2 linked regions of the Drosophila melanogaster genome follow. The protein of the gene in region 1 interacts with the protein of each later gene in a pairwise test. Each region holds a gene or a part of one and is shown on either strand. Other genes may lie near its edges.

Region 1 (6,265 bases):
GGACTCGACCTTGAACTACGGTAGGTTCCCACACCGTGCCACTTAACTCAATTAACAGAGTTTTCGCCCGAATGCAGGCCAATTAACCTGCTGAAGGGAGAGCATCTGACTCCGGAATTCCTCAAGCTGAACCCCCAGCACACCATCCCGACCCTGATCGACGGCGAGGCCACTATCATTGACTCGCACGCCATCTGCGCCTACCTGGTGGAGAAGTATGGCCAGAAGGAGCAGCAGCTCTATCCGAAGGAATTGGTGCAGCGCGCCAACGTGGATGCTCGGCTCCATCTGGACTCCGGCCACCTCTTCGCGCGCCTGCGCTTCCTTTACGAGCCCATCCTGTATTATGGATCGACGGACTGCTCCATCGACAAGATCGCATACATCCAGAAGTGCTGGGAGATCCTAGAGGGATTCCTCAAGGATCAGCCGTATTTGTGTGGTTCTGATCTAACCATCGCAGACTTTTGCGCCGTGGCCACCGTAACCTCGGTGAACGACACCGCTCCCATCGATGAATTTAAGTTTCCCAAGATGCACGCCTGGCTGAAGCGTCTGGCAGAGCTACCCTACTACCAGGAGGTAAACGGCGACGGCGCTGACGAGCTTAAGAGCATCTTCAAGGCCAAGCTGGCAGAAAACCGTGGCAAGTAGGCGGCGGCTCTATTATGTTTTGTTTTATATCCACACATTCTATATGCATATCCACTTTTGAATAAACGGATTAGATCAAAGTAAGATTTTAGCAGTTACAGCGACTTTGATCGATCCTTTATTAAGTGGACTTAACTTACATATAGCAACAATACGCTTAGGCGGTAATGGAAACGGGCATCGCCTTGGGGACCGAAACGCTAAAAGTCGGGGCGCCCAGGAGACCTCCGCTGGTGTTGGTGATCCACACATACACAAACGATGGCGAGGATTATGATCTACAACATAGGTCGTCCAGGTAAAGAGTGTATTGGTAACTAGAACCAAAGTATAAAATATATCTACAGAAATTACAAATATAAGCGCCCTCTAGCGGAGATCGGCCAGATCCGTAGATCTGTTAGGGTCCGGAGTCGGGCGTCAATGAAAGGGCCCTTCACTAGCGCTGCAGGCGTATACAATATATATATGGGTAAACAGACTATCACGACCCAAGCTCATGCACACTTCCCCAAACACGCATTTCTCATTCACACTCACTGGGCCCTATTTCATAGAGCTCATGGTCCAGAGCCCTAGTCGCGGCGCAGCAGAAATCGCTTGATGCTCTCCGGTAGTGGCAGCTCGCTGATCGCGTCCTCCGCAAAGCTCTCCAGGATAACGTTGCGACAAGCGCTCTGCAGGGACAAAACTGCAGAAAGGGGGGATGGATTAAATAAAAAGAAGTCCATCTCACATCCCGATCTATTTCACTTACTGCCCTCTAGCTGGATAATTCGAATCTGTTTGGTGGTGCCATACACATCGATCACTACGAACAGAGGCGCTCTGTTGAGCGGAATGTCTCGGGAAACGGGGCCACGATCCACCCCGTTGATGATAAAGTGCAGCTCGCCCTTCGAGTCGCTTTGCACAGTGGGCACGTATATAATGCCGATGCGGGAGCCCTTGTCCGTGAGCAGGATGTCTGAGTCATTGCCGTTGCCCATCGCCGGACGTAGAAGTCTCTTTGGTAGAAGGCCGCGGGGCGTTCTCACGTGCGTAGCGTCGCCAAGAAGGTTTCCTGCCAAAGACTGGCTATAGACAGGGGCGCATGGTATTAAAGACTGTACATACTGTGGGGCGCGTCGTCCGTCTCAGGCTCGATGATGTCGTTTGCATCCTGGCGCTGGTTCATTTCGAACTTGGAGATTGGGTAGATCCAGCTGTTGCCTAGGTTCGCGAGGTCGGGAAGTGCGAAATGGGGTAATCCCTCGCTTTTTTTTTTTTTTTTTTTGTGTAGCCTTTTATTTATTATTTAAAATCTGTCCTAGTGGACAATAATTAAATTTTTTGGAGGGAAACATTAACTTAAGGGGAGTACATCGAGTGTACTTGGGTAGGGGTTAAGTATGATTAAGTATGTTGAGTAAGGTCAAGCGGGTGCGTTCTCTGCAGGCGTCTTAGGGATTGGCTGTGGTCTAGAAGGTTGACGGCCAGGTGGTTGTGGTGGTTCTCCAGTCTGCTAGCATATCTCACGCTGTGTCTGTAGATTTCGTTGTCTACCCATGGAATCCCGAGCTCCTCGTGGATGGCGGAATTTTCGTGGTAGGGATGGGCGTTGGAGACTATTCTCAAACATCTGTTTTGAAATCGCTGGATCTTCCTTCTATGTGATGTGCAAGCAGTGCCCCACAGCTGAATTCCGTACGTCCAGATTGGCTTGAGAATAGTCTTGTAGACGAGAATCTTTAGTTTCTCTCGCAGCTTTGACTTTTTACCCATGAGCCAGTGGAGTTGCTTTAGGCGTATGTTGGCCTGGATACGCTTACTGTTGATGTGGGGGCCCCAAGTCAGCCTTCTGTCTAGGGTCAGCCCTAAATATTTGGGGGTGCTGGAGGTAGGGATTGTGTCGCCGTCGAGTGAGACCGGGGGGCATTCTCCTCTGCGCAGAGAGAAGGTGGTGTGGGAGGATTTATCAGCGTTGATCATGATGTTCCAGCGTTTCAGCCATGGATCCAGTGCATCCAGTTGCCTCTGGATGATGGCTGATGCTAATTGAGGGTTTGTTGCGGTGGCAAGGAACGCCGTGTCATCTGCATAGGTGGCTGCTGTGAGGTAACGGGAGGGTATGATAGGGAGGTCTGCTGTAAACAGGGTGTAGAGGATGGGACCAAGGACGCTGCCTTGAGGTACTCCGGCTCGTATAGGCCTTGTCGTGCTTGTTGAGGAACCGCATCGCACTTGGAACTCTCTTCCTTCAGTATACGATTTGAGTAGGGCATAGTGGGAACTGGGAAGGTGGGACTTGAGTTTGTAGAGGAGTCCAGGATGCCACACTCTGTCGAACGCCTGCTTGACATCCAGGAATACGGCCGAACAGTATCGTTTATTCTCGAATGCATCTAGGATGCGTGCTACGAGCCGGTGACATTGCTCTGGTGTTCCGTGGGATCGCCTGAAGCCAAACTGGTGATCAGGGATCAGTCCAGCCTCGTCCAGTACTGGCATGACTCTGCGCAGAAATACTCTTTCGAGTATTTTGGAGAGGATTGTCAGCAGACTAATCGGTCTATATGAGGCAAGATTGGCTTCAGGTTTTCCAGGTTTGAGGGTGAGAATGACTTCTGCACGTTTCCATGATCTCGGGAAGTACCCTAGTGAGAAGCATCTGTTGTATATGTTGGCCAACAACTGGGAACAGGGCGGTGGCAGCATTTTAAGGGATGTGGCGTCGATGCGATCCAGTCCTGGGGATTTGCTAGCCTTTAGGGAGGCGATCTCTTGCGCAACCTCTTCTGGGGTGACGGGCTCTATGGGCAGGCTAGGAGGACATGGACTCTCTAGGAACCTGGTGGTTGCAGCACGCTCTTCGCCAGTGCATCTGTCAAATGGTGTGAATGCATTCTGGAGGTGATCTGCAAACGCTTCAGCTCTTTCGGCTTCAGAGCGGCACCAAGAGCCGTCCGCTTTTCGCACCGGCGACGCCTTCTTTGCAGGCCTCCTGATATGACGCGTGACTTGCCACAGATTATGTTGCGGGTCACCAGGTTCCAGCTCCTCAAGGAATCTGTCGAAGGAGTCTTGCCGTAGGGTACACAGCTTGTCCTTGAGTTCCTTGATGGCTCTGTTGAGTGCTGCCTTGTCCCTTGGGTTGCGCGAGAAAAACCAGATTCTCCTGAGGCGCCTTTTTTCCCTCGCTGCTGGTGCGAATCACATTGGGCGCTAGTTCGGTGAGACCAAGACGCATATGGCCCGACCAGCCGCGCTCTATCTTTTCGATCTCCACCAAGAAGATGTCCCCAGGGGCCAGCGGACGCTCCGAGAATGTCAGGGCGTCGGCAAAACTAGCTCTCCGGTAGGCCACTGTGGCGTCGTCGCCCAACTGGATATTGGACCCGTGGTATGGATGAAAGCGACTCAGCTGCCGCTTGCGACTGCTCAGGGTGGGGGCGCACTCCAACGAACCAATGGGCGATTCCCGGCCTCGGTCCTGCTCCTGGTCTGGGTCTGGATCTTCCTGCTCGGCGGCCGCGTAGGCTGCACGCGAAGGCGCGCAAAGGGCGGCTGGTGCTGCCGCCTCGTCGAGCTGCTCGGCGGCTTCCATGTGCGCGTGGTCTTCGGTGATCCTTGAAGAATCTCCTGGCGTGCCCGCAGGTTGATTATTTACCTTTTGTTCCACGGAGACTCTAAGTGTGACCGTATGCTTATGTTAAACGAAATACCAGGGCTGCAGACGTACTGGCAATCACCACCAAAAGCAGGAACCAGTTCGTGACGTAATCTGAAGCAGCTGTTCAGTTGTCCAGGAGTCGGTGGAAATTACGAGGTGGGTAAAATCGTATTTTTTGACTGAAATGACCGGACTCACAGAGCCAAGGGGTTTCAGATGCGCGTACCCGGAGCCCTGTTTGCCGCGCGCGGCCGAGCGCCTCAAAGCGAGAAGGACGTGCCCTTCCAGGAGATTCTGCCTCTGCGGCTGAAGAACACCGTGAGCGGGAAGGCGGACTCCGGATCCGATGTGGCCTGTCTCCAGGAGATGGGCGTGCTGTTCGCCTGCTTGAAAGACAACGAATTCGTGGAGAAGTACTGCCACAAGGAGATCAGCCAGTTCCAGAACTGCTACAAGTGCTACATGGACCGTAAGTTTGAGGCGAAGAAGACCGTGAACCAGGGAATCGTCCAACCGGGCAGCAACCTGAACTACAAGCAACTTAACAAGTACATGCGCCGCTACCCCAATCCCGTATAGCTTTACATAGTTCAAGTTGTTTAATAATACACTATTTACAATGTACGCAGCAGCATTGATTCGTCAGTAGACCACGTCGGCGTCTCCCAGCCCGGCCGAGGATTGGCTGACCGGCGAGGGCTGGCTGAGCACGAAGTTGGGCATGGCACGCAGGAACTGCGGATGGGAATGAGAGTGCTGCGCCTCGTACAAGTCTGACAGAAGCGGCGGCTTCTCGCGAACCCGACTGAGCAGATCGGACATCTGCCTCGGTTTTGGGACGGTGGGTGTCGGCACAGCCAAATTAATGTGCAGTGGGTAGCCGCCGTGCTCCCAGGTGTCGGCCAGAATCTGGAGGCTGCGATTGGCCTCAAAAACGCGGGCGCGTTGAAAGTTTAGCCTTTCTTGCTGCAGTTCAGACCACTGATCCTGTGCGAAAATCAGGAAAGGGGTAACTATTAATTACAAGCTAGAGGACTACTTACAAATCGGGTTCCTAAACGGCCGAAATACTTTATCTGCTCCTGTACATTGAGCACCTGCATCATATACCAATCGCGTGCCTTCTCCACGCCATCGAGTCCGAAAAGAAGCAGTTCCCGCTGCTCCTCCAATTGCTTCAGTCTTTTTAGCATGTTGTAATCGATGCCGTGTTGCAGAGTGTGCCTCCGCGACTCTCTGCGCTTGCTGCTGGTCTTCTTGGGCACAGCCGGAAGGGCCAGGCTCCAGTCGGTGGCCGAAGCAGAGGTGGAGGAAGAGCCACCGTCAGCCGATCCACGGTGTTCGAATTGTTCCCGCGACTGCGTCGTTTTTGACTTTCCTGCGTCCGCCATCAGGTTCAGTTGCCAGTTTTGGAGGGCATGGCGAATGTCGTCTTTACCCAGAGCAGGGGACTTGGGTACCTGTCGTGGAGGTTTTGGCGGCGGAGCAGGAGAATGGAACTCCATCTCCGGAGCAAGAGTTCCGTGGGAACGAGGCCGCAACTTCAGGTCTTCCACAGCGTTTTGCTGATTGCGGAGCAGGCACAGCTTGAGGCCGGCGCAGAACCGCTCGAAGGAGAGAAGTCCGCTACTGGGAGTGACCCGACGGAGTGAGTCCACAACTCCGCGTGGCAGTCCCTTGGAGCCATCATCCTGCCAGCCCTTCTCGATGTCCGTGAAGCGCACGTATCCGGTCTGCTTGTCATCTAAGATGTCGAAGAGCTTTTTCATGGACAGGACGAACTGCTTAGGCAGCGTATCCAGTTCCCAAAATTGCGACTGCCCCTGTGGATGGCTGCCTCCCACATCGCCTATGCTTAGGTTCAGCAGACTGGTACTGGTATTCTTGTTCTGGCGGAGCATCTTCGTCTGCGGATGGCGCAAAATGGAAAGTGGGATGAGATTATGAATCGTATAGTCC
Region 2 (3,564 bases), on another chromosome or scaffold:
AACGTGTTGGTGCTGCTGTTGCTGGTGCTGCTGAGCGCCATGGTAACGCGGTTTGTCTGCCTTGCGCCACAGCGTGATCTCCTGTTGTTTGAAGTAGCGCCGGTCCTCGGTGTCCATCAGCACAAGGTTGAGGAAATACTTGACTGAGAACTTCTTGTTAATGTCCCGCATGGTCGGCGTGAGATTGTAGCCAGCAAGAAAGACCCGGATGGGTATGCTCTCGCCTTTGACGGGCGCTCCGTCCATGATCTCGTACTTGGCAATCGTTTCGTTTTCGTTAAACATGGTGGGGCCCGTGCCCGTGCTCTCCTTCTTGATGATCGCAATCTCCATGTGCTTGATCTTAATGCGCACCAACAGGAAGTAGATCTTGCCGATAATCGTGTCCCGCAGGTGGTACTTGCTTTTGTTATACTCGAATTCGATGTGCAGGCAGTCTTCGATGCCTACCTCCATCTTGATGGGGTTGTTCATCTCCGGGTAGCTGCACAGTGTGTGCACGGCGATGTCGACCTCCTTCGTTATGTCGCTGATCCGCCTGACGATGGTTGCGCGCAGGAAGTACCGCAACCGCACGTTCGAGCCGGCGTACACCTCGAATTGCTTCTCCACTTTGGGGAAATCGAATGGATAGCTGTTGTTCTGGATGAGATCGCCCGGGCGGGCCAGGGCCTTCGCTAGACACTTGAATTCGTGGTGGTTACCCCGGTCGTAGTACAGTTCGATCTGGCCAATGAATTCGATCTTAATGCCCTGGTGCTCCAGCTTGCTGCCCGGCTTCTTGAGGGTCACGTTCACCTGGATGAAAAGGGGGTGGATATGGGTTTATCTCTGGTTATGCTTGGGGGAACTCCCCCCGATGCTGACCACGACGCACCTTGCCGGATACCGTCTCCCCGTCGTAGAATAGCAGCATCTTCTCCACTTTGCCGTCCTCCCCTTTAACCTCTGCCGTCTTGTGCTCAGCTCCATCAAAGACTATCTCAATGTCCGCTGACTGGCCGAATCCCAGGAAATTCATAATTGATAAACGTCGAATCGGCTTCTTCTTCTTCCGTTTCTTATTGCCCCCGCCTCTGCTTCTTGCTGCTCCGATGGAATGTCGACGCTGTGACTCCTGTTGGCGGCTTTTCCTAGAGATATCTTTCTGATAACCCCTTCAATAAACCTCAGCTTTGATAGGCGTTTTTCTGCGGCCTTTTTACGTCCTTCGTTCCGATGCTGGCGTATCTGTCGCGTCTGTGTGTGTGAAATGAAAAAAATTGCAATTTTTCACACTACGGCGTTGCCATATCGCGTCAACCTGATTGTTATTAAGGAGTGCCAGCGCTGGTACTTTTCAGTATTCAGTATTTGCATGGTATTTCTTTAAGAAACACATACGGAATAATTAACGAAACAATTGATTGTGGATCCTTAATTTTCTTGGTATACAATAATTGTGTAAATATATTTCGTATTTTTGATTCATCTTGGTAACTTTTCGATAGTTGAATTCTAAATGGTCTTGCGCGGTATTTATATACCCGCTAACCTAGTATGTCAAATACCAAATCGCAGTATTTAAATACCGCACTTATTCAGCGGAACAAAACTAAAATTAAAGAAAATACCTAAAAGCCCTAACGATGCGAAAGTTGACTAGCTTCGTGTGCGGCACAGGAGCCGGACTGGCGGCTTACTACCTACAGCGGCTGCGGGACCCGCAGACGGTCGTGCAGAACTCGTGGACGCACAGTGATAAGCCGGTGGATCCGTGGGCCCTTTGGGACACCAACTGGGATTGCCGGGAGCCACGGGCCCTCGTGCGTCCACTGCGAAACAGCCAGCCGGAGGAGGAGAACCGCTACAACGCGGAGCTTGAGAAGGCGAAGGCCAAGAAGGCGCGCCACATTATCCTAGTGCGGCATGGCGAGTATCTGGACGTGGGTGACTCGGATGACACGCATCATCTCACGGAGCGCGGCCGCAAGCAGGCGGAGTTTACTGGGAAACGGCTCTGCGAGCTGGGCATCAAGTGGGACAAGGTAGTAGCCTCCACAATGGTGCGGGCCCAGGAGACTTCCGATATTATTCTCAAGCAGATCGATTTCGAAAAAGAGAAAGTGGTGAACTGTGCCTTCCTGCGTGAAGGAGCGCCTATTCCGCCCCAGCCGCCAGTCGGCCACTGGAAGCCGGAGGCATCTGTAAGTCAAGTCAAGGGTCAACCCAGTGCGTATTCCACATGATATTCGGCTTTCATTTCACTGCAGCAGTTCCTTCGCGACGGATCGCGCATAGAGGCCGGCTTTCGCCGATACTTCCACCGCGCCTATCCCGACCAAGAGAAGGAGAGCTATACCCTGATCGTGGGACACGGCAACGTGATCCGCTACTTTGTCTGCCGAGCCCTGCAGTTCCCCGCCGAGGGTTGGCTACGGATTAACATTAATCACGCTTCCATCACCTGGCTGACCATCAGTCCATCCGGCAACGTGTCCATCAAGTACCTGGGCGACTCCGGCTTTATGCCCGCCGAGCTGCTTACCAATCGCATACCGCGCGACGTCAAAAACGTGGTTTAGCCGTCTGTTTATAGAACTGCCCAAAGGAGAAGCAATCATAATGTATTTATTTCCAACACTTTAACTGAGACCTTGAGCACAGATCGCGAGACTGTGTAAACCACCATGTACATTTTGCCGCACCGTAACGTATATCTCTTAAGGAGGAATCATTGAATCTTCCGACTGAAATAATAAAGATTTTATAGAATGCCTAACATTTTATTGAGAATCCTTATATGTACAAAAGAAGCCATGAGGAGCCTAAACCCTGCTCAAGACCTTTTGGAGTCGCTGCAAGCACTTGCGTATGCCCACATCTTCTCCAGCGCCGCGTTTTAGCTCCACCTGCTCTGCCTGCTCCCTTATAAAGGATAGGATGGGAGCCACTAGATCCGGCGCCAGCTCTGCCAGGTTGATCAGCATCTGGAAGTAAAAGTAAGTGCAGTGGGCCAGGTGCTTTTCGGCGAGGGATCGCAAGTGATTGGAGCACATATCCCTGACCGCCTGTGATCGCTTGTAGGCATCGTGCGATATAAGCACTTTATAAAGTCCAAACACTTGGTTGCGACTGAGGTCCACTTCGTCCACGAACATTACGTGTTCCAGCAGCGGGATGTGCACGCCGCGCAAAACGGTTAGCAGCTGTTCTTCCTGCTCTTTGCCAGTGCTCTCTATCAGTTGCTGCATTATAGTGATCACCAAGCCCGCATGCTGTCCTGCCCTCCGCCGCTGGACCACCAAAAACTGGGTAACGAGGAGCTGAAGCACAAACTGCGCCAGCTCTCCATCTACATCCGCCTGGAGGAGGGTGGCATATGGACGGGCCACCAGCTTGGCGTTGGATGAGAAGCTAAAGTGCGGCGTCCAGTGCTGAACTAGTTGCTCCAAAGTCTTGGCCACGTATGCGTCCGTGCGGTAAGGCAGTCGACCAATGCCTTGCAGCAACACTGGGAAAATCTTGTGAACCACTTGTGGAAGGCGACCTTCGGGCGGCACTCCTGCCTGCAACTGCGTGGTG

What was found.
Region 2: the proteins of CG3894 (region 1) and Pgam5 interact in a two-hybrid assay, tested with the Drosophila melanogaster proteins (one large-scale study listed by BioGRID).

Annotation. Positions count from the first base shown.
Region 1 is NT_033778.4:24,761,230-24,767,494, reverse strand, and holds CG3894 (uncharacterized protein), read right to left. Parts: upstream 4,329-6,265; 5' UTR 4,241-4,328; coding exon 3,830-4,240; intron 1,907-3,829; coding exon 1,771-1,906; intron 1,718-1,770; coding exon 1,412-1,717; intron 1,346-1,411; coding exon 1,230-1,345; 3' UTR 745-1,229; downstream 1-744. Other genes in the region: GstE12 (glutathione S transferase E12), read left to right, coding at 1-20, 78-654; CG12848 (uncharacterized protein), read left to right, coding at 4,523-4,885; CG3880 (uncharacterized protein), read right to left, coding at 4,949-5,293, 5,350-6,207.
Region 2 is NC_004354.4:1,871,595-1,875,158, reverse strand, and holds Pgam5 (phosphoglycerate mutase 5), read left to right. Parts: upstream 1-1,593; 5' UTR 1,594-1,628; coding exon 1,629-2,186; intron 2,187-2,252; coding exon 2,253-2,564; 3' UTR 2,565-2,759; downstream 2,760-3,564. Other genes in the region: Vps26 (vacuolar protein sorting 26), read right to left, coding at 1-798, 878-1,021; CG14803 (uncharacterized protein), read right to left, coding at 2,808-3,564. UniProt on the Drosophila melanogaster protein: Displays phosphatase activity for serine/threonine residues, and dephosphorylates and activates Pk92B kinase. Has apparently no phosphoglycerate mutase activity.